4 linked regions of the Drosophila melanogaster genome follow. The protein of the gene in region 3 interacts with the protein of the main gene of each other region in a pairwise test. Each region holds a gene or a part of one and is shown on either strand. Other genes may lie near its edges. The genes, in order: CG17162, CG15043, Pect and Srp9.

Region 1 (7,908 bases), on a different chromosome or scaffold from region 3:
TGGCTTCTCCTCCTCGCCTAATGTATCCGAATTTGACTGAACATTTATTGAACAACCGAATAATACAATTTCTGTTAGCAACAGCAGTTTGCGGTTATTTGTTATCACGTCAGCTCGCGATTTATTTTTGTTTGTTTGACATCGGATTGGAGTTGAAAAAGTAACGAAAGGCTGAATTGTTGGGTTGCTAAACTGTATCTATTAATACCCTCAAAAAAATCATTTAAATATGTATAACCACTAAAATAATTTTGGTACACAAAAAATTGTGTTCGATTATAAATAAAAAACTTCATTTTAATCATATCATTAATAATAATGAATTTTGCAGTAAACAAAGTAGACTCTTTAGTACGGTTCCCCCCGAATGACCCGACTGAAAAAAACGATAATCACTAAATTACTGCTCCGTGAAAAAAAATTCAGGGTAGACAAATTAAATTGAAAAGATCCCGACGAACACAGCCAACTATATCTACTCTCACATTTAGTGCCCTCTTTTACTTCCACACCCACACCCAACAATCCAAACACACTTAGGCTTAGTGGGCGTGGTCCACCCTTGATAGAAAAATTACTAACGTTCATGTCGTTAACCATTGTAACTGCAAACACCAACTTTTGCATACACCAACACCTCTTTTACAAGCCAATTTTGTCCAATTTGGACATCTCGACTCACGATAAACAAGACAGAATAAACGAGACAGAACGAACTATGTCAAAAATCGTTAGTAGAGTTGTTGGATAGGTCCAGAGTTATACAATCTAGGAGCAAGAACTCGCAAGCCGTCGAAAGACACTATCTAACGATGTCCCAGGGATTATTTTAAAAAAATGCACCACATAATTATAAAGAAAATTCGTATCATAACCGGTTATACAAGATGGCTGAAAAGTAGCTTGAACGAATCGGTTTTTGGCCCGATAAACTAACAAACAAAAACAAGTTGAGTTAACCGACGGTAACAGGAAAAAATCAGAACAAATTTCTGATGACGATTATCATTATAATTTCCATAAAATGAGTTATAAACAATAGAGAATGCGATAGTCGAGTTCCCCAGCTATCGTTACTCAGGTGGAACGACATATTTCAATATGTCTTTTAGAATATCGGCAGAAATTGGAAACCAAAATAATAAAATGGAAACTAATTTAAAAATTATTCCAATGTAGGCGTGACAGTTTTGGGTGGTTTGTGGGCGGTAGAGTGTGCGTGCCAAAATTTTTTTTTGCGAATTGGTAGATATGTACAAGACTTATAAAACCATGAAACAAATTTTTTTAGTTTTGGGCGGTTTGTGGGCGTTAGAGTGGTAATGGTTAATCTCAACATTCTAGCTTTTATAGTTCCTGAAACTGAAGCTATAAACGCTTTATTCTACCTGTTACATACTTTCCAACGAATCAACTATACCCTTTTACTCTACAAGTATTTTTTATCTTTGTATTTTGTATTTCGATGTCGTAGAATTCAGAAATTTTTTGTATGCTCTTTTAATGCGGTATACATATACATATATATGTACAATATTCCTGATTAGGATCACTAGCCGAATTGATATGGTAAAGTCTGTCTGTCCGTAAGGGGGCTGTCACCTCGAAAACTTTAAAAGCTTTGAAGTTAAGATAATGTATGCATTTCTTTCCTTTTTTCTGATTTTCGAAACGTAACGTTTTAAACGTTTTAATCATTCGTTAATCAAACAGCAATTCATATAACAGAACGTTATATGAATTTTTGTTAAGTGTTCTAAATATTTTGGTAACACAGACAGGACGAAATGAATTTTCTATCTATTAAATAAATTGATATTTAAAGAAAGCAAATTAATTTAGAAATATATTGACAATTTCCAACTAATTTATCTCTGTTATGGAAAATTAGTTTAGGAAAAAAGTTAAAATAACAAAAGGAACCGCTATAGATTTTCTCCACTAGCGCCACTCAACTAAGGGGAGAACGAGGGAGAAACTTTGAAACTTGATTGTCATATCCATAAAATTGTTTAGAATAACAAGAGAGAATGCTATAGTCGAGTTGCCTGAATATCAGATACCCGTTAACCCAGATATTTTTCTGCGATACCAAAAGATGTTGGGGAATAAAATGAGAAAAAATTTCAACAATTTTCAAAAGTGGGGCGTGACCGGTTTGTCGGCTTAAGGGCGTCACAGTGGGTGTGGCAAACAGTTTTTTTTTGCACATCGATCGGAATTTACAAGACTAATAAAGATGTGAAAAAATATCAATATATTTTTCAAAAGAGTGCTTGTGGCATTTTTTCGTGGGCTTGTGGGCGTTGCAACATGGATCAACAAACTTGCGCTGCGTCTTTGTCTCTAGAATCTGCATGCTAAATCTCCGCCTTCCAGCTTTTATAGTTCCTGAGATCTCGACGTTCATACGGACAGACGGACATGGCTATATCGACTCGGCTATTGATCCGTTATACAGTCGGAAACGCTTCCTTCTGCGTGTTACATTCCTTTAAACGAATCTACGTTACTCTACGAGTAACGGGTATAATAACCAAATAAAAAAGTCTAAACATATTTAAAAAATTTGGTTGGCGTTCGAATGAGATGGTGGAGGTATTTTGGCAAAGCGATACAAAGTAGCAAAAAATCAAAAAATGCAATGAAAAATAATTATAACATTTCACAAAAGTGTGGGTGTGAACCTTTTGGGCGGTTTGCCGTCGTTAGGGTGTGCGAATATTTCAAAACTTGCCCACGTACCACTATGTGAAATTTTACCACTTTTTCTGCCCAAAATGAATAACTCCAGGACGTTGAAAGATATTCAGATTGGGTTACAATATATCCGTTCTGAAACCGCCCCTTATATTTGTTGTAGTTTGTAACTCTAGAACGGATAAAGATATTTAAATTTTTTTGCCATTATCTTTTATGATACCAAAAATTGTGGCCGTGGCACCGCCTCTTATATTTAATTAACTAATTTTGTATAGGTATTTCCCTAATTTCGTATGCTTTTTCTAGTCCAAGCAAAGAACAACTGATTTCGTGGTAGTGGTTGCATATTGAATTATTTTACAAAAAAGTAAACACAAACATAATAACAAATTAATGAATCAATTCACCAACAGGCATTTTTAACTCCCTTTTAGCTAAAATTACTCTGCATTTGAACAAGTAGGGTAAGGACCTAAAAACTATAATTTCTCCGAAAATCGCAAAGAATGCACTTTTTAATTACAACTATCTAAACAAGAATTAAATAAGCTACAAAATAAGGTATATTTCATGAATGAGTTTTGTTGCATTCGCTTTAAATCCCTTTTGAAAGTTAAGTTTTTATAACAAAAATATTTTAGTAAGACAACATACATTTTTACGGTATAAAGTCCCCTTAATACACGATTTTTTGATAGTTTTGATAGTCAAAAACACATAATACAAACCACATTGAATAAAACTAATTTTGCAGAATGAAAAAACGCTATGGCTCAAAAGATATATAAATATTTGTATCAAGGGAAAAACTTATCGTTGCAGACAAAATTTTTTTTGTGCTTGCAACACAGCTTAGAGAATGATTTCTTTGTTTATTTATTTCTGGTATGCAGGAATAAACATTGGCCAATATAACAGAGACAAAGCTAATGCATATGTGAGGGATACACACACACAGTGTTTGTTCTACTTTGAAACACAAAACCGCGTCAGTGTGACACACTTATTGCGCCTTAGCACACACACCCACAGAGGTATTAGGTAAGGGAGAGTGACCCAGGAACGGTAATAATTTCACTAACTTGTCGAAGTCTATAAACCGTAAATATACCGCTAGGACATCAACAACAGCTGTTGGCCTCTAGGTCTGCAATGATTGTGATGCTCTCCGGAAACACGCACATGTGTGTGTGTCTTGTCTACCTTGGCAGTTTAATAAATCGGTTTCAATGAATGATACTAATACTAGTTGCGAATTTAACTCGAATTATCTCTCGGCTAATAAATGCGCTTGGTTTCGTTTGATTGCCACTCCTGATTGTTTAGCGTTTGTTTTAAAACTTTTTTGACACTTACCCAATGTGACCGCATACTGGTACTGAATTAATATCGATAAATATACCAATCTATTTCTAGGGTTAGATTCTGGGTATTCCTTAAACTGTTAAATTGTGGGAATGTTGAACCCTCAACATGAAAAAGAAACAACAAAAGAAAAAATTAAATTTCAATAAAACATTTCTCTGTAAGTAAATTCTTAAAACAATTTAACACTACAGTTGCTGAAGAAAGGTGCGTTTCACTTTCTATTTCTTATAGCAAAAAATAAGTTCCGTTAACCTTGTTGAATTTTGTTATCACTTGGACTCGTGTCTAAAACATTTAAGAACAATCCATTGACTTAAATTATAATGTTTTCGTGTGTTTTCATAGTTATGTTTGTTCGAATACCACAATACCAAGAATACCTTTACCTCATATTATGTTATATTGTTTTAATGTATAATGTTATAGGGTAATCAGGAAAAATTCGTACCTAGTTACGCTACTAGGCATACAATTCCAGGCTTCCTAAAAATGCCTTTTTATTAAATATTACCTCTTTTACTTACTATTACATAGAACTTAAACGGTTCAAAGTATCTGTTAACAACCTTCACCTTAGCAACGTACAGAAAAATGTTTCAGTGGAAACAAGCTATAAAAAATATTGCTTCTGCTTGAATTCATTATTTACAGATTTAGTACCTTTAAAGTATGTTAAAACCATATATCTTTTTTATTTATAGTTTATAATCAGTGACCGCTGTACTACACATCCCAAATCTTGGGATTTTAATGGTAAGGCCCGCGATGTGATTGGCGATGACACTATCGCAGTTACATCCAATCAGTCGTCGATATCTAAGCAGCCGCATTGCAACTTCTAAAAGAATTCGGAAAAGCGGCATCCAAGCGTTGCTTTAGGTAATTGCGTAGCGAAAGTTCAACGGAAGAAAGGAACTTTCCCGGGCCAAGGAGCAGCGCAAGCAGGACTCAACGACAATTTGCAAAGACTATTAGCAATGTCTTCGGCCAGAGACCTTATCAAAGTCGACATAGTAAGTAAAACATTGGCTTTATTTGGATGGTAACAACATATTTTTACTTATCGATGACAAGGAATGGGGCATGGAGCGCCTGGTGCGAGCTCAGCAAGTGGTGGAGCTGCGGCCCTATGACATCGAGTCCTGGAGTGTCATGATCCGAGAGGCCCAAACGCGGCCAATCCACGAAGTACGCAGTCTTTACGAGTCGCTAGTTAATGTGTTTCCGACAACCGCTCGGTACTGGAAGCTATACATTGAGATGGAGATGCGCAGCCGGTACTATGAACGCGTGGAGAAACTTTTTCAACGCTGCCTAGTCAAGATTTTGAACATCGACCTCTGGAAGCTCTATCTTACCTACGTGAAGGAAACCAAGTCGGGTCTAAGTACTCACAAGTAACTGTTATACCTTATTTAAATAATTCACATAATTTGACATCTTAGAAACTATTATAATTTTAGTCAAAACTTGCAATGCAGCGAGCATATTGTTTTTTTTGATGCACAACATTTGTGTTATTCTGACACGCTTATTTTATTGGACTTATCTCTTTTCTCAGAGAAAAAATGGCCCAGGCTTATGATTTTGCACTGGAGAAAATCGGCATGGATCTACACTCGTTCAGCATCTGGCAGGATTACATATACTTTCTGCGGGGCGTTGAAGCAGTGGGCAACTATGCAGAGAACCAAAAGATCACAGCAGTGCGCCGCGTCTATCAAAAGGCTGTAGTCACACCTATCGTGGGCATCGAGCAGTTGTGGAAGGACTATATCGCATTCGAGCAAAACATAAACCCGATTATATCAGAGAAGATGAGTCTGGAGCGATCTAAGTGAGTGTTATACGCAGAGTTTGCTAAATGTTCTTTCTAAATTCCAACTTAAAACCAGGGATTACATGAACGCTCGTCGTGTTGCCAAAGAGTTGGAATACCACACAAAGGGTCTCAATCGCAATCTGCCAGCCGTCCCACCCACACTCACAAAAGAGGAGGTGAAGCAAGTGGAGCTGTGGAAGCGCTTTATCACGTATGAGAAGTCTAATCCCTTGCGCACTGAAGATACGGCCCTAGTAACCCGTCGTGTCATGTTCGCCACGGAGCAATGTTTGCTGGTGCTCACCCACCACCCGGCAGTGTGGCACCAGGCCTCCCAATTCCTGGACACCAGTGCTCGCGTGCTCACCGAAAAAGGCGTGCGTACTAGTGTTGAAAACATTTCACCTATTCTCTGCGTTCCTGTAGTGAATCAAATAGAGTGGGTTATGGCCTTTGCTTGGTGGTGGGCAAAGGTCAAAACCAAAAACGAATCAAATATAGTCTCTTGTTTGCTAAGAAGTGTCGCCCCTCGGGTAAAGGAGCACGCAGTGGCACAACACAGATGGCTTTCCGTGGCTTGCCCCGTTGCCCCTGGCCAGGCCGCACGCGTTTTACTCTTATAACTAAGTCGAACTTTTGTGTATTTACATGTTTAATTACTTATTAAAACATTGCAGGACGTCCAGGCGGCCAAGATTTTTGCGGACGAGTGTGCTAATATACTGGAACGGTCTATAAACGGCGTGCTAAACCGAAATGCGTTGCTATATTTTGCCTATGCGGACTTTGAAGAAGGACGGCTCAAGTACGAGAAGGTGCACACTATGTACAACAAGCTGTTACAGTTGCCAGACATTGATCCCACATTGGTAGGAACACACATATTGAATATGTTTCATCAAATATTTGATACCATCGAAATTTAATACTCCAGGTCTATGTTCAGTACATGAAGTTCGCCCGTCGTGCTGAGGGGATCAAGTCGGCCCGTAGCATATTTAAGAAAGCTCGGGAGGACGTAAGGTCGCGCTATCACATTTTCGTGGCCGCTGCTTTAATGGAGTATTATTGCTCCAAGGACAAAGAAATTGCGTTCCGCATCTTCGAGCTGGGATTGAAGCGTTTTGGTGGCAGTCCAGAGTACGTGATGTGCTACATTGACTACCTGTCCCATCTAAACGAGGACAATAATACGCGCGTCCTGTTTGAACGGGTACTTAGTTCAGGTGGTTTGTCGCCGCACAAGAGTGTTGAGGTCTGGAATCGCTTCCTCGAGTTCGAATCTAATATTGGGGATCTCTCCAGCATCGTTAAGGTCGAACGTCGCCGTAGTGCCGTTTTCGAAAACGTGCGTTCTTTTACTACTTTATTTTAGAAATATGTTATAATAATATTTGTTTAAAGCTTAAAGAGTATGAGGGCAAGGAGACCGCCCAGCTGGTTGACCGTTACAAATTTCTGGACCTTTACCCCTGCACCAGCACCGAGCTCAAGTCCATAGGATATGCTGAGGTGCGTAACGGAATTTATTTATTTATAAAAATATAAGAAGAAAGAAGAAACAAACTAGCATCCATAACCGCGAAATAATTGGATTCTATTGTTATACTACATCAAACGATAACATGTGATCGTGTAGTAATCGCCATAACAGTTTAATGTCTGAATACATTTTTTGAAAATTGATTTCATTCATAATTTTTCCCATTTGAGACAGTTTGTAGGAACTCATTGGAAAGGAAAGAGCAAGACTATTTTATTTTATATGTGCGAAGAAGAAAGAGATAGCATATAGACTTACTGAATTTTAAAAAACATTTTTTAGCACAGACTGTTTTAAAAGTGTTCATTACGACATTTTTCTTCTTATAGCCAATCAAACTTTTCACAATACTTTTTATAGGGTCCACAAAATGTTTGTCTTTAATTACTTGTCTTACTTTAATCACCTCGTTCTGCAGAATGTGGGCATTATACTGAACAAGGTGGGTGGTGGAGCTCAAAGCCAGAACACC
Region 2 (6,210 bases), on a different chromosome or scaffold from region 3:
TAAGTAAAAGGATGTGCACAGTAGTCCGTTTGAAATTTGATTCTTTAATGTATGTACGTCTATGACTAATAATACTCTCGGCAGGAAGGGCAGGGACAGGGGCAGGGTCTGGAGTTCATGATCACAGTTGGGTTCCAAGCGAATCGTTTATTGTAGCTGAAAGTTCTGGGCGAGCAGTCCTAGTACCCATAGATGAACGTCTCGTAGACGAAGCTGCGCGTCTGATTGGAGGTCAGCAGAATCTCCACGTTGGTCTGACCGATGCCACCCTTGGTCAGATAGCCACCGGCATCGTCCGCCGTCATGTCCACATACACCTCGATGCTCGTCAGCGTGACCCCTGTGCTGGCTCCGGCCGGATAGCTCATGAGCACCTCCACATCCTTGGCACTGGGAAAGCTGTCGTCATCGTAGTGGTTCACAATGAGTCGGTCACCCGATGCCCGCTTTCCCGCGGTGAAGACCACGTTGCCCTTCGAGTGCTTCACCTTGTTCATCTCGTTCAGCTGTGCGTCCGGATTGAGGGTGGTGTAGCGTGTTTCGTCGGTCACGGGCGTTATGTCCGTATAGTAGAGATCGCTGGCACGGGCGTGTGGCTGTCCGGATACCGATGCCATGATGCCCAGCACCAGGCAGAGCACTAGGAACATCTTTGTTAACATCACCAGATCACCAGAAAAAAAATGGGAACGAAACAAAATAATCGGAAGAATAAGGGGTGTGTAGACTCCTTTTCTGATGCACTATTCGAACGCTTTTTGAATTTTGGCTGGTACTGGCGACCGCCTCCGGCTTTTATACATGCTTCCTTATCGGCGGTCACTACGTCGATAAGACGGCCCGACACAACTGAACGATAAGCCCCCGGGGGAATTGGCTGTGGCAATTTCGGCAAACGCCTTTATAAAACCACATCGACTAATTGGCCATAATGCTGCGATCAGTTCCTATAAATAGGACACTCGAGCTTACACCGCTGGGAAATGGATTGGATTGGATGGGCATATGATGGGATATGATGGGAACACTTGTTATTTGATTGGACGATTGGACGGACTGCGTACAAGAAGCATTAACTTAATGTGCTATCGTAGTTCAATCTATTAGTAAGCGGCTAGATAGTATGTTGTTGATTTTTATTTTTATTTTTTTTATGACAACCCACCCAATAATAAAACCAGTGATAGGAAGCACCACCTTACTGGATAAAGGAAATGTTTCCTCCGCCGTTGAATGACGATCTGTGATGGCGCGTGTTTGTTTGTTTATTTGTTCCACGACAATCTTAGCCTTGATATGCATAATGGCGCACAATGGCAAACAATCTAATAAACAAATAACCGTATCTACAAAGTCAATTGACTGTCTACGCAACATGGTCATAGATACTATATTCATACATATCTATATATACCACATCGATTCTGGACTGACGTACTTACCACCAGAGAAAGTCCCCCCAATAGTTGAATGAAGACAGATACTCAGATACTCAGATGCCCAGCTATATGATAAATACCCAATTGAATCGCAAAGTCTTGGGAGTTTGGCCATTGTTCGTTCTCATCCAAAACGTGATTCATTCGGTTGGGAATTCCTTCTAAAAATCCAGCCAGATAGGGGGAAAGTTCAATAACGTCAGTAGAACAAAAACTTCATGCGTCTCACTCTTTCGCAGACAAATCCCTGGATGATTTGCCGCCTTGGTTTCACCTTCCATGCCAAACGGAGCCGCAATCGGAATCCACAGCGGATTCAGGTGAGTGGCTGTCCCAGATTTATGGCAATGGCTATCATCGGTTTCGAGTGGAAGGCGCGTGAGCAACGAACCATTTGAAATTGATCAAGATTACCGAATACCCTGGGGATGGTGATATATGATCTCTACCATTACCGACTTTTCAGCTTTGCAATACATTCGACATTCGATCGTACACAGTGAAAGACGTACATGTATATCTTTGGATCTACACATTCTTCGTTAAAAATGAAATTTTTTAATTAGAGGAACAGGTCCGAATTTGATTTATCATATAACTCAATTAACAGAGTGACTGATAGTACAAACATATATGATCTAATTGCATATTTACGATTAAACATATGACAGCATATAAACTTTATCCCATCAATGAAATGAAATTAATTACGTAAATCTAGATAATTGCAGGTGCTGCAATCATTTTAGTCTGCCATTATACATATGTATTTAAAATTGGAGTCACATTTAAAAAAAAAAAAAAATATATATATATATAAAGCTAGCGAGGAACTAATGCAAATGCCTCCTAGTTGACTCCGTAGTAGAGAGCCTGGTATGAGAAGTTCTTGGTGTTCTTGGCCTCCAGCACGATGGAGATCAAGCTCTGGCCGATGCCTCCGGCGACCACGTAGGCGGTGCCCTCGTTGGTGTCCTGGGTGCAGAGCAGCTCCACGTAGGATACAGTGGCACCCTTGCCGTTCTCCGGATAGGTAAGCTGCAGGCTCACATCTTGCGCCCGTGGGAATTCGTAAGTGTTGGCTGTCTGGGCCACCAGTTCGTCGCCTGAAAGTATGCCAGATTGCGGGATCAGTGATTGGTGGTCGGTCAAACGTAGGGTATGCTTTGGGTAACTTACCCGGAATGCGGGCTCCCATGTTGTAGCGCACGGTCTGGCTTCCGACGCGGGCCTTGGCCGGCACAATTTCCTTCTCCATCTGCTGGATCTGCAGACCCGGGTATTGGGCGGCAAAGACATGGATATTATCCACCACTTGGATGCCGGTGGTATCCACACGTATTGTTCCAGCCGCTCCACCGGACACAAGACAGCCCAGCAGGGCGGACAACAGGATGAGGCTAAACTTGGACATCTTGGGCGTTGAATTGAAATTCGAGGTAAACGAAGTGTGTGGACTAAGGGTCTCCAGTCACGGCACGTTGAAGTCACGGAATGATGGCCAAGGTCTGGAAACCACCTATTTATACCGCCCACTGTTTTTCTTTGAATCATATTAGGTACCCCCTTATCAGGCCCATTGCCAATTTCAAGTGGCAAGTGACAATGTCTAATCCAATACCGGAAAAAGAGTCACACCGACGCTGGAACTGCTCTACTTCTCGTTCAGAAATGAAACTCTTGTATTGAATTAGAGCTTAGAGGATAAATAAATGAGTTATTGGGCTTTTTTTTATATCTAGCACCTTACAGTGCAGCGACCCCACGGAAGTGTAACCATAATAATGCTGATAAGGAAGCTTCCCACTTCACTCAATTAAATTGAACAATTTCGGTGTTATTGCGCTCGGATCCAATCATCCCCCTTTCGCCCCGCCGGCAGCTGCGATGGTGTACCAATGGGCGGAAGATAAGACCACGACTCCCACTTTGGGAGTACGACCTTTCCTATCCGACGGTAAACAAACAATCTTTTTTTTTTCCTCAGGCCCTGATTAGCCAAAAACTAACTCTAGGCGCAATCTATTGCCCCAGGATTGACACCTGCTGGCGTCCCCCTGTTGGACTTCCCTCCCCCTTCCTCGCGCTTTTAGACTTCCCTACCCGCGATGGAGGAAAGAACTTCCCGGAATCTTATCGCCCGTGGACTTCCCTGGAAGTGGGACGTCGAGTACCTTCGAGACGAATCGACCCATCATCACCACTCCCAATCAACGCGGCCATCGATAATTGTAGATTTGATTTAACAATAAGTTATGAATCATCTGCTTAAAATTGGATTTACTCGCCATTCTATGCGTACACTTAAAGAATTGGCGGGGCATTAATGGTGCACCTACGTCAAAAGAATATAAAATTAAAAGAAATTTTAAAAACTTTCGAAAAATGCGAACTTGTTCTGTGCACTTAGGTTTCAAATTGTGAGCACATCTTGAGATGGGAACTTTATTATATCTATTGATTTATAAATGGATCGACCCTTCCCCACAATATTAAACATTCAACAGCTCGGCTTACATGGTAAAGTGTTTAGAAAACGTTTTTATTTCTATGCTATTATTCAGACTTATCGATAACTCTAAAGTTACACATGAATGTAAAATATTGTTTTCAAAAATCAAACTCCCGAAGCACTTGCAACGATCAATTACGATTACGACTACCTGGTACAGAGAGCTTTACGAAAATCAAGAGTTTAAAAAAAAATAATGGGATTAGTAGTAAGAGAGCCGAGCTTCGCTGCAGACTCGATTGGTTCGGTTCGGATTGGATTGGATTGGAATTAGAATAGATTATAATGGATTAGATTGGAATGTGGCAGCGTTGAAACTAAGCTAGGATTAGTTGGACTTGCAGGAGTATAGACTAAGGTTAGTACATTCATTTTTTCAGTTGGCAATCATAAAGCAAAACAATCTGCGGCCCTGTCATCGCGTCCCGTTCCCGTTTCATAAATCCTCTATTGCACTCGACTCGCCATCCCGCCATCGCGCTATCTCGCTCTTATTCGCTTCCGCTCTATACCCATCGCATTCTCTCACTCATACGCAAGGACACACACACACGAGGTCGGCACGGAAATCCCCCAGGCTTGGATCCTCCCAAATATCAATTGAATATCTATTGTATGAGATTCGCCGATCGAAATGGGAATGGGTTCACTATCAGCTAATTGTGATGATTTTCGTACGCTCTGCACTAAGTGCATTTTGTGGAGTTTGATCTTTCGTGACAAAAGTGGAAAACAGTTTTCAAGTACGACTACTACTAACACACACACACGATTTTGAAAATTGCATTCACTTCATGCACTACAAATATGGTCTAAAAGCAATTGTTCTAATGCTTACATGGAAATACAATTGTTCGCGATTCCTTACGACATTGTTTTACAAAATCGAAATTCTTAAGCTTTAATAATTTAATAATATCCTTGTGGATTTATTTATTCGCCGAGCATTGAATGCCCTTGTCTGAATCCCGGTTGCCCAGGCGATTTCCAAGTGCCGACAGTGCATATGTACATACAGTTCGCGTCATAAATGCAGATGTGTGTGATATCTTGTGTTTTTCGTGTGTATATCAATACTTATATGCGTTACAAAACCAACAACAATTCCATTTCTCATTTTCACTAAATTGCTTTTGTCTAAAATATCGCCCCCGTTGCCCCGGCTGAAACCCTTGTGATCCATTCCTTGATCCTCCTCCTCCTGCTGCTCCTCCCAAACATGCTGGACTTACCAGCGTGGGCGTATCTCCTTGAACCACCACTGCTGGTAGCTATCGTTAACATCGCAGTGACCCAATGACAATTGCTGCGTGGCCGGATGCAGGGCCATGCATTTCTTGTGGACGCGATGCATCAGGTGCTTCGTGTGCTCGTTGTACTGCCAAGGACCGTCGACTGTCCCCAGACGACACACGGCCAGTTTGATGCCCTGCCGATCGGCCTCCACGCAGCGCTCGCCGACGCCCAACTGGCCAGCGGCATTGAGCCGAACCAGTTGATTATTTCCGCCTCCATGGCAGTATGTGAGGCCCATGATGGCCGGCGGCTGGTGGCCCATCGAGTCCAGGCATCCGTCGGAGGCCACCGAGCGCAGCTCGCCCCAGTGCAGGTTGGCCGGCAGACCCGGGAACTTGTCGTACACATCGTAGGCGATGTGGTCCATGAACCACTGGAAGCTCTTGCAGTTCAGTCGCTTCTTCAGCGCCAGTTGCTCGCTAATGTCGCCCATGTCCAGGTAGCGGGCAAGCGGCTCGCGCGTATAGAAGTACTCCTTGTGCGTGTCGTCGAACCACGTCTCGATGACGCGCTTGTAGTTGATCGTGATCAATGGACCCTTCTTCTTGCTAGCCAGTTTGCCGAAATTGTAGGGCATAAAGCCGCGATAGACGTGACCCACGCGAGAGCATGGCACCCACTCGATGCTGCCGCCACACTGCCAGATCTTGAAGCTCAATTCGAAGTTCTCGCCGCCCCAGACCAGCAGACCCGGATCGTAGGCGCCCAGCTCCAGGAAGTACTCCCTATTGATGGCGAACAGGCCGCCGGCGTGCGTGGGACTGCGATAGGGTTCCGAGTTGTGAGCACGGCGGCGCTGCTCGCGACGTGGCACCTCGTTCTCCTTGTACAGCATGCCCCATTCGAAGATGCCGCGGAAGTGGTTGTCCGTGCCATAAACCGGCCGGTACTCAAAGTTCTTGTGGTCAATGCCATCGATAATGGGCACTGTCATCACAGTGCGATCCCGGTAGATGGGCGCCA
Region 3 (10,513 bases):
CGGCGCACTGGCCTTAATCCTCTGAAATGTCACCGAAACACCCATCTGCCAGTGGAGTACCGCCGCTTCTCGCAGCATAGCGCCCTTATGATCTTCGCCTGCCGCACCATGCACTCGGTGCTGTGGGAAAGGAAGCGTGTCAAACACGAAGTCCTGGCCATCTGGGTGGCTACTCCTTTGCACGGCGTGGCCATCACTCTGCGCCTGCTGGTCCAACCTGCCAACCTGCCACGTTACTACACCAGACAGATAAAAGCTCGTCCAATGCTGCCACTGTCGTCGAACCAATCCTGCAGTGAGTTCATCAAGACCGACAGCAACGTGATCCTCATCAGCTTGAATGACCTCCGGCCACTAATGGATTTAGATGTTTGGCAGCAATCGCTAACCGTCGAACTGAAAGTGATTAGCGAGGCAAGTATATAAAACTTCCGGTTTTTTTTTTTTTTGGAATTCGCAATATTTTTGGCCATGTATTTAAGTCTAAGATTAAACAAGGAAACATAAAACTTGAACTCGCACTTACTATATGCATTAATAAATTAGGACAAAGTATCAGAGATTACATTTGATAAAAGCAGCTACTTCCTGATCCAGGCATCCTACTTCCGTTGCTGAATATATATACATACAAGTCGTACAAGGCTTTTCAATTCGGCAACAGTTTGGATAACATGCTATTCGTACAATTTTGTTGTTCCTCACACTTACATCGTACTTTAAAGGGAATTTACAAATTTTGAGCTTACATACATAAAATTTAGATTTTAAATATTCTACGTTAATGTGTTAGAAATATATAATTATGTGTATAACCTTATATCATTAAGGCGCATGTGCAGATATTCTAAAATTGTACTAGAAATCGAGAGAGCGGTGCGCTGAATCCTCAGGCAGCGTCGCTTCGCTTTTTACGCAACAAAAAATTAAAGCGCCATCATCAGGGGACGACATACTAAACAAGACAAACTAAATAAAACAAACTAAAAGAACGCAACTAGAAAATAAAAAACATCCGTCTAGTGTGAGAGGTCGGAATCTGGTTCCGGCTAGCCGGCCTTTTGGGTCTGTTTTTGGCGTTGAAGTGCCTCAAAGGCTTCGATTTCCTTCTTTTCTTTGGCCTGATTGCGACGCTCATATTCCAGTCGGTGCGAGATGATGCGCTCCACGATGCGCTCCGTGGTCATCTCGTTGCCGGAATCGATCAGCTCAAAGATGGCTCGCGTCTTGGGAACGGCATATGGATCGATCTTGCCATTCTCAAGCGCAATGGGTGTGCGTCCATGACAGACAACATCGATTTTGAAGTGCTCAAGCAGCTCTTCAGTGACACAGTAGGGAGCTCCGATTACTACCTCATTGACAAACTGGGGGAAAAAAGAAGTTTTAAAATGAGATAATATTTAAAAAAAAGAATCTATTGCAATCCTACCTTGCAGGCCAAAACACTGAGCACGCGCTCGTGCAGATTCATAATGGGATAGTTGCTGCCCTTGTAGGAGTTCACCACGGGATCTGTGTGCAGGCCAACAATCAGATAGTCACCCAGTTTCTTAGCCTTTTCCAGAAAGTCCAGGTGACCCACATGGAAGAGATCGAAGGCGCCAGCCACATAAACCTGCAAATACCGACAATTATGAATTATACATTATATACATATAATGAGGGCTAAACTTACAATCTTATCGCCGGGATTCGGTGACTTTCCATCACTGAACTGTATGATCTTTTGGGTAGTCGGCAAGAACTGACTACAACCGGTCCACGGACTTTTGGCTGCCGAATCTTGACCCATGTTCGAAGAACCTGGATGGGATTTTATTTGTCGTTTTAAAATTGACACTTTTTTTGTTTGTTTTGTATTGTAAAGCAACGCAGACAAATGAGCAAAAGTGTGTATTTAAGAGCAAAAATTTACGTTTAGGATTTGATTTCGATTTGGATTCGGATTTGGATATTTTGATTGCAGGTTGGTCATTGGGCATTCGGCATTTGGATTCATTTCGCGGGCGCGCACACGCACAAAACATTTAGCATAGTTTTCATAGGTTTCATACATTATATTATATTTTTGATAGTGGTTAACAGTGCGTACATAGAAATAAAAAGAAGAGAAATAGTAAAGTTGTAGAGGGCAACCATAAACCAAGGCGTTATTTGCGTTCAACTATGGCAAATTAAAAAGAATCTATTGGGGAAAATGCATAAACTAATCGTGCGTAGCCCATGTATAAACTGAATATATCTGTATAATATTGTTCATACTTGTAACTGATTGATCGACTTTGATTTATGCACAGCATGCAAGAGCAATAAACAAGTTCGACAGCAGGAAATGAAAGACAAAAAGAGTGCAAACAAAAAGTAGTCTTAAAATTAAAGTTAGTAATGGTTAGAAACAATGAATTTGGCGCACAAATTCACAGTGCTCGCTGTGATTTAGGAACATTAAAATGAAAATAAAATGTGCCAGAAAAGCGTTGGAACAAGCTAAAGCTACCTTCTTTCTCGATATCATATTCCGCGGATCCTTGACGGAAGTGGTTGCGTGTCAGGAGCAACATGCGGCCCACAAGGTCAGTGGTCGAGACTCCAGCTGTGCGTTTCACTTCCCTGCGGATTGCATAAGAAAATTTAAGGTCAGTAATTGGAAAAATGTGCAGTACGTGCTTTACAAGACAACTGGCAGCTTATTAAAGGTTAAGGCAAGATGTACATAAGGTAAGTGTGTGTGCATTCCCTTTTTAATAAACTGCCACATGTCTTAAAAATATATCTTTTCAAACTCACTTGTAGCGATTGGCTGATTTGACCAAATGATATGTGTCCACTCCTTCGGCTGTCATTGTAATGTCATCTGCAAACAAATACACTCGATTGAGTAACATCCAGATATATGCATAAATTTGTTACCCACCTCCATGCACACAGAAATCACAGTTGTTCTGGTCGAGCACATCCAGTGTGGTCACATACGGAGCACCGAGCACCACCTCATCCACCCATTTGATGCCCTTGACCATCTTGACGCGCTCCTCCTCGGTGAAGACCGGTGGTCCCTTGTGCTTGGTGATCTCCTCGTCGGTGTGAATGCCCACAATTACCTTATCGCCAAGAGCCTTGGCTTGTCGCAGAGAATTGGCATGTCCGAAGTGTACCATATCATAGCTGTTGAGGATGGAAGGAGGATAGATATGTCAGTACAAGAATAGATACATTGTTTTTTTTTTTTTTTATCAAGCGCGTGCCAGTGAACAAGCAAACATGACCTTATTAGTTACCTCCGGAAATGTTGTCTGCCATTCGTGGAAGTTTAATAAATTCTAAGATAACTAAGACTGCAACGATTGCCGCGAGACCTTGACAAATAGCTAATGGAAACGATCTTGCCTCTACCAATATGACTCAGAAAATGGCATATATTTCATAAAATTAGCAATTTTTCAAGCTCGCAAGATAAGCCGTGTTTAACTTCGAGACTTGCCAAAAAAAAAAAAAAAAAAAAAAAACAATTATCGCATGGAATGTGCATACATACATACGTATAATGAACCTTAGGCCCAACAAAAAAAAACCACTTGTCTTGACGCTCAGCTGGAATCCTGGTCATTTAGTTAATGGTGGAAGCTAGGTCGAAGCAGTACTGCTAATGACCCCCAGACGATAAAGTAATAAAGTGGTTCGAGCAAGCCATTTACATAGTTTACATAAACCGCTGTCGAAGCGCGTCAAAGATGTCTGGTCGAGTGCTTTTAATGACCAGTAGCTGACGGACTGACCACCGGTGACTATAGAGGCGGTTTGTGTGCTCCACTTTTGCCCAGCATTGGTCAAGAGATTGATCTTTGGACTCGATCATCAGAGTGGGTATGCCAAAAATGCCGAGAGAGAGATGGATGAAGCAACCGGGACAGGGGATATCAATAAAACCGCATTTGCTGCTCGTTGTTTTGCAATTCTAATTGCAATTATGAACGCTGCTGCGTCAGCTTTTCAGTGGCCACATATACGCAAACATCGCCATTCAGCTTGTTTACATTCTCCGCCGATTCTAGGCATTATGGTTATAGGCACACGTGCCCTGGCCTGGTTTTTGTTTGGCTTGGGAAAGCGATAATAGCATCCGGGGGACGTGAGGCGTTGCACAAATTGCACTTAACACCAATTATGAAGGTATTTATTTTTTCCACCATAGGTACATTGTAATTGTAAGTATTTATAAAATAATTCATATTGAAACCTGCTCTTTTGGAAAATGATTCACCCAGCGGGCTTTGTGCAAACATTTTTTAACATAACATGCAAAAGGTAACCACTTAACTAAATGGCGGGTGATAAGAAATAATACCGTCACCATCGACGGTTTCTTCGGTAATCGATTGTGAGGAGTTCATTTGAAATAGATAGACGGAAAGTATTTTAAGTACTGCTTCCATTGAAGATTAGAGAATTCCCAAGAAAATAGTTGTACTCAAAACAAACTGGATCTTTAACTGAAATGAAATTTAAATGAAATGCAATGCCCCTGCATGCACGCCTAAAAATAAAAGATGGATTATGCCAGCTAGTCCCTTGACTTGCCCAGATAGTAACAAATGCGGAGAGATGACCACCACCATAAAAAGCAGCTAGTAAAAACGTGGGCCATTCATTAATCGAAGCGAAACCTTTGCTCCCGGAGATTTTTTTGCAGCGCACCAAGAAATCTGTGCCGAACATACTATACCCATATTAGCATTGTTGTACTCTATATGTAGAACAGACCCAGGGGCCGCTTAATCAATTGAGTGAGCTAAAAGCAGCGACAACACCAGCGACAGCAACGCCGACGCCCGTTTGCTGATTAAAAAATATCACGCGATTCTCCGTAGAATTTGTGCTCTGTCGTCCGGACCCCAGAGCCTAGTAAAGTGGATTGACTTGGTGGGGTAAAGTATGCCATATACATAGATCTTATACTACAGCACACATGTACATATATGCCCCGCCTTAAGGCCCCGGACTCTCTTATTACGAGAGCTTCCCATTCATTTGTTATTTCCACTGGCAGAGGTTCATTGACTTGGGTGGAAAGGAGGAGACAAGCCAAGCACTTGTGCCTGCGTCAATGATCAATCTCTGCTGATTAGAATGATTTTTGGGTCCAAGTGCCCCACATACATACGTGCTTTCCCCATCTGATGGGTTATCAGATTCCATCAGATTCCACGCAAATATTATGTTTATACTTGTTGTTCGTGCCCATGAGCAGCTGATGTGGAATTTCAGCGATTGGAGCACGACTACGTAGGTCGTTCTTATCTGTCGCAGCTAGAGGACTTCCACACTGGTGACAGGGAGCTGTGACCCGTTGACAATGGACATAAGGGAGCATAGACTGCCAAAATTACCCGGAAATGCCAATGAGCATGATGTATATGTTTTAGGTTTAAATCCATAAATTAGGTGACATTTTCTAATCTTGCTTCAGGGCATTCGCAATTGGATTCTAAAAGTTTTGCCATATGTATGTTTTTGCTTAGGCAGAAGTATACTATAAGATTGAACCACCTCTTAATAATAAATGGATATGGTTTAAAAAACCCTTTTAAAATAAAGACGATCCCTTGCGATTATTTAGTCAGTACAGGAGAGGCCCAGCGAAATGCCAATTAAATTGGGCACACAAAAGACCGCCAGACGATGACGACAGCATTGTGGGTCAATGGCGAGGCAATGGCAATGATGGTGGTGCAAAAGGGGTGTGGGGTCCATCGCCGAGGCGGAGGGCATGCGCATGCCAGAATCACGTGATGTTTGCGGACGGACGACCGGCGGGCAGCCACAGTCAACAAGGGCCACGTAAACGCAGCCCTCATCCGAAAATCTGAAGCCTCAAAAACAGAAGAGCGGAAGGAAAGGCAGGCTGTTCAGATACAGTGGGTTAGCCAGAGCACATGTATATGGCACATATATGTATGTACATTTGCTTGTTGGGCGTGTGCCATTGTTTATACGGTGAGTAGAAATACAAGGAAATAAGAGAAAGAGCGAGGGCGCATATAAACAATGGGTATATTTTTATTTTTACCGACTGGCGGTAGCCACAATTGAGGAAATTTCTATCGTCCCCCAATGAAGCAAACTTGTTATGGTAGGCCATCTATCCATCCGTCCATATCGCAGTCTAACGCGTCATTACCGATAAAGATAAACCGGTTTCTGATGATGCATTGCACGGAATCAAATAATTATATATATATATATATATGGGGGAACGCAATGCCTATAGAACCATTTGATGGTGCCCAAAACAAGGCAAAGTGCGTCAATAGTATCTATATGCGGATCTAAAATACATAGATGCATTAGATGAACCGAACACCCGGTTTATCACATATAGCAATTAATTATTGTGCAAACTAATTTGGGATATATGTATTGTTGTTAGCTTAAGCGCCATAAAGAGTGCGAGTATCGCCGGAAAAGGCAAATTAAACATTTTCTCTGAGTAATCTGTTTTAGAATAGCCACTGTAAGCGTACAATTATAAATAGATTGCATAGCGTATAAATATAAATATAATGCCAAATGTCCCGGTCAAGCGTGGAGAATATGGACATTTCGGATCCGAGAGACCTTGAACCTGAATTATGTAGACATTTCAGCCGGACGACGGCAATGGGTGGATATTTGGAACGGGCAGCGAGACGGCACCGTTTCACAAAGATTTGCTAATCAATTGAGGAACCCTGGACGCTTCTTAGCACGCCTAAAAATGGGGTTTAGTTTATCGTCGACTGATTACGGTTATTGGTATTGGAAACCAAATTGGAATTGAAATAGTAGGGTTCGGTTGGCCGTGGTGTGGCATGGAATCGATGGCACCGACGCGGAATGGTTATGCTTTGACTCACTTTACCGTTAGCGGTGAGTAACGACGTGACGCAATGGGCTGCCCTAAGAACCGTTAGACATTGTGGACCGAATTCCTGGAGGCCCCTAAATGTAATGTAGATGACTCACCATCCATCGCACCAGACGCGCACATCCTTCCGCTGCTTGTCCGAATACCCATTGCAGGCGCTGGTATCGCCATTTGCCTCCATCGTTGACTTATTGAATTTTCACAATTTAATTTAATTTTAATTTAGAATCCGGCTAACGGGCGAACATTAGATTCCGGAGAGTATGTTTCTGTTTTCAGTGCTCGTTTTGAAGGCGGAAACTCGACGACAGCGACGTTCACGCTTCGAGAGCTGTAAGTTATTTGTTCTGAGCTACGACGACGCCCGCTATATATCAATTCCCATTTCACGACCGAGCTACTCAGTTCAGTTTTCGTTATCGGTTTCGGACTCGGATTCACGTTCAGACTCGGAGCGGAATTGGTCTCAGATTCTCAGACTTGCGTTATCAGCGCGCGGGCGCATGGGAACTTCTTTGGGGCGTAAGTGCGGTGTGTTTAGCTTGGGTTTTTTTTTAGATTCTTTCATTTCTTTTCTCACAATTTCGAGTACCGTGAGAGCAGAGTGGCCGCATCGGTGTTTGTCCAAATATACCATATGCCTGGTGCGATGAATACCAGCTAACGCGGATTTTGTAAACATCAACAGCTGATCGAGATATATTGGGAATAACTTTAAATTGGCAAATTTTATGTTACTAAGCTAGAACTTTTATATTAAGCAAGTACAAATCTGTATTATTATACGTTAAAAGGGTATTAACTCTATTAAATCCTTATGAGTCGATCACCCCAATGAAATGTATAATATTTTAGGATATAACAAAGTGTTTTGTTTATAAATAAATGTAAATATTGTCACAACAATTATTAAAAAAAAAGTGTCATAGAATTAAACAACGAACACTACTAATAACATTCACAATTAAAATTTTTTTTTTCATTTTAAAGGTATATTTTATTGATTGATCCCACTGTAAAAATAATACCGATGGTATTTTAAGAGGCATATTGGCCATGGCGATGTGAGATAATACTACGGTGTTTCCCACGGTCACACAGGATAAAGCAACTTAAAATATTAAGCCTATCAAATAAGAAATATACAACGCACAGCACGCAGATATACGAAAAATAACAATCGAAGGAAACCGACCAAGCCATGATAATGTAATCATGATCGTCCACAGTCAGTTCGGGCATTGTTTTGTAGACAGCATCAAGTATATTTTTTAAATTTCACGTGCTAAATTTACAAGAAATCCTACCACAATTACTAAACGAGTCGACGAGGGCTAGATAATCCCAATCCCATTCCCCGTACCAACGCGATGTCCAGAAGAGAAGCCAGCCTGATGGCCTACGTAGCGGCGGAGGAACACCTACTGAACCGGTACTCGCCGCTGGAAGGCGACGAGATAGATACGGCCAGCGAAGCTCCAGGCGACGCATCGGACGTGGCTGAGGATCGGGAGTATCCCACGGATCTTGTTGCATCTGTCACCAGATCCTCGAGGACGGGAGCAGATCTGGACCCCGCCGTGGACAGCAACCTGCACGTGATCTCCGACGACTCGGACACCCACAGCTTTATCTCGAGTGGCAGCGGCTTCAAGGGCTGGCCGGAGGAGCAGCCGTCTTCCAGTTTCGTCCCTCAGAATGAACCCTTAATATTCGGACTTCGCCGGCAAATGATGATGACCGAAGAGACACACCAAGCCCCAGTATGGGCCACCTGCACACCGGCAAAACGTTCGTACAGCAGCCACGAGGTCATCGAGATCAACGGTTTGTTAATCTGTTCCATTAACTATACAAGGAAATCTCTTCCATTTAATTGATTATGAACATTTATCCCAATTGAAAATATGAAATATCTAATATGGTAAACTCACTCAATCGCATACTTTTCTTGTTTTTTAGACTCACCCGAATCTGTCCAGGATCCGGGCATTGCACTAAGCCCCGGCATGCTGCTGACAAATGGCAATGTTGACCAGTTCGAAATGCTGTCCCACGAGAATGATGAGGCTGAACATGAACTTCAGGTGGCCGAAGAAGGGGAGCAGTGTGTGATCTATGAGGCTGTGGATGGAGAGAACATGGTCGTTTTAGGAGAAGAACACTGCTGTGAGATCATAGTAGCTACCCAGGGAGTGGCATGCGAGCAGGAGTTCGCCAGGGCCATCATGATGGCCGGAAACGGTACCGGTGCATTGCTGGGCTTGCTGTCCGAGGAGAGTGATGCGAATGAGTGTCTCAATGGGACTGCCTACATCGAGGAGGTCGTGGAGGATATGGGTGTGGCCGAGGCACGATTGGCGGCTGGAAACAATGTGTACCTTAGTGATGCAGCGCTAGAACAGCCTTTAGTGCACCAGGATCTGGTCGACGACGAGGCTCCGGAGGAAAACGAAAACGCCACATTCTTAGACGATACACCGATGGAGGAGGAACGCCCAGATATTTGTCAGGTGTATGATCACGAACTGGAGGACCACGACGATGAAGAATGCGAGGACGCAGTCATCCAGGAAGAACCAGCCCAGCCTATCGACATTGTAGCATTCGAGGGACAGGAGCCGCTGCCAAATAATCCGCAAAGAAAGTTGCTTCGCGAACACAGCAGTCCCACGGAATTTCCCGTCAGCTCATCCTCCATGCCCAACGCCAGTGACCACTACGACTATGAGGATGAGTTAACGGGCGGCCGCTCTCCATCCAAAGTGGCTCCACTGAAGCGAAAGTATCCGCCGCTGATGAAGAATACGCTCCATGGAGAGGCTATGGATCGAAGACTGGCAAGCATTTGTCAGGCTCAGCCGCAGATGAGTCCCGCCGAGAAAGTCTCCAACTGGGAAACGGCACCCAGGGAAGAGTGGGCCGATGTCGAGGATGTGGAAGGCTTTGAAGCTGCCTTCAAGCAATATGAGGCTGTTACCGCATCACTCAAACAGCTTAACTTTGCCGAATTCCGTGAAGCACTGGTCCGGAATATGGAGAAGATCAGCCGTGAAATCATGCAAACCTCAGACGAATCCACTCAAGAGCTTGCCAGCTCTCAGTCGGCGGAACGGCCGGTGTATCGTCGCTATTTGCACATTCTGCCCACCGAGGAGACAATTGTGCTAGATGATGATGACGACGATTGCTACGAGGTGGTCGGCATGGAAAAAGCCTCTGTCACCACATTGATACCCGAAGAGGAGCTACAGGATAATCAACAGCCGGAGGAAGAAGAGATAGTGCTGCCAGTTGTTGATGACATAAAGAACACGGATTCACCGAATTTCGAGCAGCGGAACCTTACCAAGGAAACATCTACAGCAGACTTGGAGAGAAGCGCGCTTACTCAAACGGCGGGTTCATCCGCTGCGAATTTAGACGCATCCTTATCCCATGCTCAACCTTGTCCAACTGCTCCGGCAGGACTTACTGATTTTATGCAGGCGAACTTAAGCGACCGTGGGCCATCAGAAGACCAACAACTAACCAAAGCTGTATTAGATGTTATGCGTCAGCAGGTGCAAACAATGCAACAGCAACAGCAGTTTATGGAGCAAAAGA
Region 4 (5,867 bases), on a different chromosome or scaffold from region 3:
TTTGAAATCGCCCTCTCGCACCTTTGCTACAATATATGTTTGATTTGTGCACCCCGATAAGTTGGAATCGTGTGATGATATTGTTAGTATGTGGTTGTTAAGGAGAGGCCCATGACAAATCTCCGGGTGCCAAAAACTTGAGTGTCCAATTGCTTCCGTATCTGAACGAAACTCATATTTTTTTTCATCGATTCCGGGACATTGCGAAATTTCTGGCTAACTCCTTGTGATTCAATTATAATGAAAGTGATATAATTTGAGCACTTCGTTTCTAATAGACATGCTGTCACCTCTTCAATTTGATTGTGGCCTTTTGATGATTATGATATATTCCGAATTGACGTAGGTTCAGTTCTTCCGGTTCGGACAACTCATGTTTTTATGCCACCTACAGATACATTTAACTGGAAAACTTTGTTATATTGATAATGAAATCATGGGTGTAATTATGAATTGTTTGCGTGTAATAATCATGAATCAAAAGTTCTATGAGTGTGTCAAGCTAAAATGAAAAATTACTTGCAATTTATGGCCCAACTTCCTTAATGAGCAAGAAAAAGTGATTCAATTATTTATTAAGTAGAAAGTAGAGTGTATTTTTTGCAATTCGTTTTTTTTTTTGTGTTTATTTTTTATCAAAGCTAACATACCTTTTTAGAAGGGTATGCCAAGCAAAATGGAGTTCAATCGACTGGGCAAGAGTAAGCGGCTTCTTTTGGAGTCGTTCAAAGCGATTTCCCTTCACCTGCAACACCTTCAAAGCCTCCATTGGCACTGCCCAGGTGAACATAACTCACCACTTGATTTATGCAAATAAGCCACGTTTAATTATGACCATTAGCCACTGTTGAGCGGCTACCGTTTTGAGTCAATAGATTGGCCCAAGGGGGCGGAAAAGGGGTGGCAAGTAGCTTTTAGTCGGTTTGCGTTTCAATTTCGCTTTGTTGTGAACAAACCCCTGCCCCTCCGGTGGGGAATGGGGAAAAGGGGGAGATGGTAGAGCATGGGGGGCTGTGAGACAATGATACCTGCCATTAATGAGTTTTTTATTGACACAAGCTATTGACCGAGTTATAAGACGAAGCGGCTGAAATGTGTGACTAATATCAAAGGGAATTCGCGGGCTAAATCTATTTAATCCATTAAAATGGGAAAAACAATAATAATATAGATATCCTATAGATAAAGATAGATATAGATATAGATAACCAAAAGAACATTTACGTACATACTTTTAAGTATGGTCATAATGCATGATGCTTCCAAAAAGCAGGCTATACAAACTTTCCTGATGTAGAAATGAGGAGTAGTTATCATTATGATATATAACTTTAGATCAAAATCCTCACCTCGAAGAGGCATCCATATCTATATAGCTTTACTTCTAGTCTTTGAGCAAATCCTCAACATGCGCTGGTTTTAGATTGTGCAACAAATCGGTGGTCTTAATTTATAACTAATTGTCATATGACCAACTAGTTATGGCAATCAATTGGACTTAGTTATATGGCCGTGCCGGTCCGATACCATATAAAACCATACATACATATATTATATATTAAATCAGAGGGATTGCCATGTCGTTCTGACCATGGCGATACAGTCAACTGTGGTCCGTCTAATTGCATGCTAACTGTACTTAAATATCTTTATAATTGACGCCACAGTGGGTGTCGTAAAAAGCACGTACCGCCATGGTCCGCGTAATACTAGTAGGTCTATTTGAGAAGGCCTTACCGCCCGGAGACATCGACATCCCCAATCAGACCCGCAACCCCCGCTGAGTCGACCCCACATCCCAACCACCCGCAATAAAAAGGTATTTATGTTATTTGTCAAGTTTATCGCAACAGTTTGAGAAGGGCGAGCGGCCAAGAATCGCTGGGGCCTAATTAAACCATGGGCTTTATCGTCTTGTAAAGATCGAAATTATTGCCACCGTACCCGCTGCTATGCTTCCAGTTTACGACCCCCATTTTCCAACACCAGTAGCAGCCCCCCCAACAATCGACCATCTATATAAAATATATGTTTTTTCAACGCATATGTGTACATATATGTATGTACTGGGTATATATGAAAGCGTTACAGATTGCTCGTTGTGGTTTCTGTCTTTTGATTTGTTGATTTTGATAACTGCAACTTGTGGGGCTGCCTATAAAATTTATGGGGCTTTTATTGCACTCGCAAGCCCCTTAGAAGGATTGGAAATGGAGATCTATATATAGGCACTATAATATTAGAACACCGTTAACATAATTCTATTATTAAGCTTAAAAAGGGATATTCATATTTTTAAATCGAACATTATAATAATACCATATCAAGTCCCACCCCAACTAAATGTATACCCTTTCTCCAGCTTTTTAAAAAGTCGAAGACGAGCTGCCTAAAGTGATTGTGATTGCAATGCAATGCACTGGGCAAACAAATCCAAACAAAAAATCGAGTAAAGCCCAATGCGGGGCAAACACAAACATCCGATGGGTTGGGCAGAGGATCGCCAGCGATCTCCGCCAGCCAATGTCATCATCTGCGTCTCCTTCAAACAGAAGCCAAATGAGCTTGTCGTGGAGCTATGCATATTGCTGCCGGAAACTGACGGTTTCTTCAATCGAATGACCAGAATGGCCAAGTGAGATGGAGTCCGCTTGAGCTGCAACTGTAGGGTTGGTGGAGGGCTGATCAAAAGGTCCGCTCGAGCGGATCTCTGTGGGTCAAGCAAACGCTTCGACTTAATCCAAGGTGGCTACTGAGTTGCCTCCCGTTCAACAGGTATGTATGTAGATAGATCCCACCTCAAACGGAGTGCATTCTGCATTCTCAGCAAACACTTGTGGACTACCGATCGTCCAGTGTCCCAATGTCCGAGTGTCCAATTGTCCAATCCAGTGGCCAGCGGTTCCAGTCGTTCCATCAATCTTTTGCGGCGGGCTGCTGTCAATCTCCTGCGGCAAATAAACTCGAGTGCCTCTCGCAGGCAAATAACCAATATTTGCTCTCGGATTATTAAGTGAGCCAGCATCCCATTCCGCTGTCCATTTCCAGTTCCCATCGGTGGTTCTTCGGTTCCTCCTCCTGCTTTCAGGTGGCTTGTTAACTGTTTGCTCGGGCTGTTTAATCGCTTTAATGGTTAGGCAATTAAGAGTTCTTCGGAAAACGTCTCCGAATGCCAACTACTCCCTCTTCTTGTGCTGGAAATATTAATAAATTCTTTTGATATGCTCCGAAAGAAATTACATCCATTTCAGGTAACATGAGTAATACTTAGAACGAATAAAATATTCTTTTATGTGAAAAATATGGCAGGTTTGGTTGCATTACCTATTGGAAACTTAATTTTGGAATAGATTGATTGATCTAGATATATATAAAATGGGGTTTTTAAACCAAATTAATGATAAAAACACCAAAAGATTGATTAGTCTCGTTGCATTTTTCAGTTCTCCCTTGATTTATTTCATGCTAATCGTTTCATGGAAATGTGTTGAAAGACCGATTGACTCTTACGATAAATACAAAACCGTATGGTTAACATTATGAAAAACATTTTGCACCGCCGCCGCTGCCTGCAGATGGGGATTTGGACCACCAGAAGAGAAGTAATGATGATGATGATTCCATCCGCAGTTCATTCGCAACGTGTACAGAGCAGACATTTATAAAATGTCGTTTAAAAGCAGGCTAAATGCAGCAGCTACTCTGATCGCCACATTCGAATGTCAAAAACTCGGCGGCTTTTTTGGTGCTTAAAAACTAAATTCAATGCGGGTGTTGATGGCACACACACAAGCACACACCTGCTCCGGCGAAGCAACAACAACATTCGTGGCCGATTCATATGCTCATGCATGTGCTATGATCTTTGTTGTTGTTCCTGGGCAGAAGTGTCGCCGTGGCCAAAAAGTTTCTGTTTTTCTGCGTTCTATTCCTTGGACGCCATGTGTCCCACCAAGTTGCTGGTGATCTTCTCGATTTTTCTGAGATCCGGCATGTTCTCCGCTTTGTACTGCACACACTGTGGTTTAATGAAGTAAAAATTTAAAAATGTGTTTTGCACTGATAATGGAATTGGGTGCAAACCTTAACGTTGTCCGTCATTTTTAGCAGAATGTGGCCCTTGGAGTGCGCGTATTTCATGGTAAGTCGACAGTTCTGTGGATTGGCCAAGTACATGTTCTCGACGGCAATCTCGAAATCATCCCAGTTCTTTACAAAAACCATTTTTTATTTAAACAAATGGAAATCCAGGCGAAATTATTAAAAACAACAACAGCAACTGGACGGCGTGACGTTGAAGCTATCGAAAAAATACCAAACCAACAAGCCAAAACTATTCGATAACGAATAGCTCAACAGCTGAACACCCCATTGTGAATGTCTTAGTATTTTTCAAATATTTGCTGACGGTTTTTCAAACAAGGGCCTTTCTAAATTTAAACTTTACATAAATCGAAAATATTAGAAATAAATATAATTAATTTTAGTAAGTTACGGTGTAATAATTTGCTAAACATTACTTAAGTGCGACCGTAAAACACCTAGTTAAAAATACCACTTCGCCAATGCAAGGTGATCGGTATTTTCAGGGTAACACGTTCACACCCACCCACACATCGTAGCTGCGCTGCAAAGTGTTTCAATATTTATTGCAAAAATGGTGTGAAAAACCACTGATTCGCTTAAATTTAGTGCTCAATCGTAAGCAACGGATGGCCGCGAAGGCGTCGGCAGTGAAATTCGCGAGTAACATTGCTGAAAATACATCGAAAAGCAAACGCGAAAAACGATGAAATCTAGTCAATCAAATATTGTGAATGGATGTGAAAGAGAAGAAAGAGGGGCGCAAAACGAAAACGCAAATAATAAGTGACACGCAGAAGCCAGCTAAAGTGCAGTTTATTTAAATATACTAGAGATCTGTTCAAAATATAAATATAATCTCACAAATCATCAAAAAGTCAAGTGTCTGTGTGTGGTGTGTGCGTGTGTGTGGGAGTCTCTCTCTCTTTTTCTCCCTCTTTTCTTCCCCATCTACCGTGTTGTTATTCTGGTGGGGTTGAAAAGCCATTGCCTGCATAACGGTTAACGCGTGACGTACGACCCATCAACAGCAGTCAAGTGCAGCACCCTACCGCCCCTCGCCCTTCCTAAAGAGTAGAGAGCACACCTCCTTTATAAATAAAGAGATCCTCCGATCCACCCAAACACCATTCATCATGATGGACAACGATGATGCACTGCTCAACAATGGAGGACCACAGTCCGGAGCTGAAACTGTCTACGGTACCGAGGACAACAACATGGTCATGTCGGAGAAGGTAATAGTCCATCCACAAAAGCCCTCTTTCATCTTGTCCCACTGAGAAGTAACCAGATCACTCGGAATGGGAATAGTCTTAAGTTTCAATAGCAGTCCATTGATAGTTTATAGCCAGGAAAATTCACTGTGATACCATTGACTAATTTATACTATTCACTGAATCATACGGGCGTTTCTGATTCTCCCTTAAATTTGATAACGCACAATAAGTAGGTTTAATCTGTTCTGGTTCTCTGCTCCTTACCATCCACATTCAGACCCACTCGTATCGTACAAGTAACACAAACACGAGATAATGAGGCTATAAAAGTGTTCCAAGCGGAAATACAATCGCAGAAATATGCTTTCTTTGCACATCATTCTTGCTCTCTTCGTATCTCTTTCTTGTTTATATACCCTTAATTATGTAAAAACGCAGCCAACAATTGTTTATTATGCATCAGCTGACGTCTGTGGTCATTGACATTAAAGCTGGCGAAAAATAGTAGCCAAAAATGGGTAGAAAAAGAGAGTTAGAGAGCAAAAGAAGGGTAAGAAGCCGGGG

The links.
Region 1: the proteins of Pect (region 3) and CG17162 interact in a two-hybrid assay, tested with the Drosophila melanogaster proteins (one large-scale study listed by BioGRID).
Region 2: the proteins of Pect (region 3) and CG15043 interact in a two-hybrid assay, tested with the Drosophila melanogaster proteins (one large-scale study listed by BioGRID).
Region 4: the proteins of Pect (region 3) and Srp9 interact in a two-hybrid assay, tested with the Drosophila melanogaster proteins (one large-scale study listed by BioGRID).

The regions. Positions count from the first base shown.
Region 1 is NC_004354.4:23,092,648-23,100,555, forward strand, and holds the start of CG17162 (uncharacterized protein), read right to left. Parts: upstream 4,088-7,908; 5' UTR 3,786-4,087; intron 963-3,785; exon of another isoform or gene 1-962. Other genes in the region: su(f) (suppressor of forked), read left to right, coding at 5,049-5,084, 5,146-5,468, 5,633-5,908, 5,967-6,366, 6,571-6,762, 6,828-7,241, 7,298-7,405, 7,855-7,908.
Region 2 is NC_004354.4:18,491,230-18,497,439, forward strand, and holds CG15043 (uncharacterized protein), read right to left. Parts: upstream 2,940-6,210; 5' UTR 2,854-2,939; coding exon 2,619-2,853; intron 2,546-2,618; coding exon 2,289-2,545; 3' UTR 1,964-2,288; downstream 1-1,963. Other genes in the region: CG15044 (uncharacterized protein), read right to left, coding at 180-662; Pgant7 (polypeptide N-Acetylgalactosaminyltransferase 7), read right to left, coding at 5,180-6,210.
Region 3 is NT_033779.5:13,200,765-13,211,277, reverse strand, and holds Pect (phosphoethanolamine cytidylyltransferase), read right to left. Parts: upstream 7,517-10,513; 5' UTR 7,089-7,516; coding exon 7,006-7,088; intron 3,169-7,005; coding exon 2,918-3,168; intron 2,858-2,917; coding exon 2,791-2,857; intron 2,614-2,790; coding exon 2,501-2,613; intron 1,843-2,500; coding exon 1,679-1,842; intron 1,619-1,678; coding exon 1,433-1,618; intron 1,368-1,432; coding exon 1,050-1,367; 3' UTR 450-1,049; downstream 1-449. Other genes in the region: CG15482 (uncharacterized protein), read left to right, coding at 1-426; CG16972 (uncharacterized protein), read left to right, coding at 8,278-8,734, 8,870-10,513.
Region 4 is NT_037436.4:7,934,832-7,940,698, reverse strand, and holds Srp9 (signal recognition particle 9), read right to left. Parts: upstream 4,327-5,867; 5' UTR 4,225-4,326; coding exon 4,084-4,224; intron 4,019-4,083; coding exon 3,926-4,018; 3' UTR 3,441-3,925; downstream 1-3,440. Other genes in the region: syd (sunday driver), read left to right, coding at 5,220-5,321. UniProt on the Drosophila melanogaster protein: Component of the signal recognition particle (SRP) complex, a ribonucleoprotein complex that mediates the cotranslational targeting of secretory and membrane proteins to the endoplasmic reticulum (ER).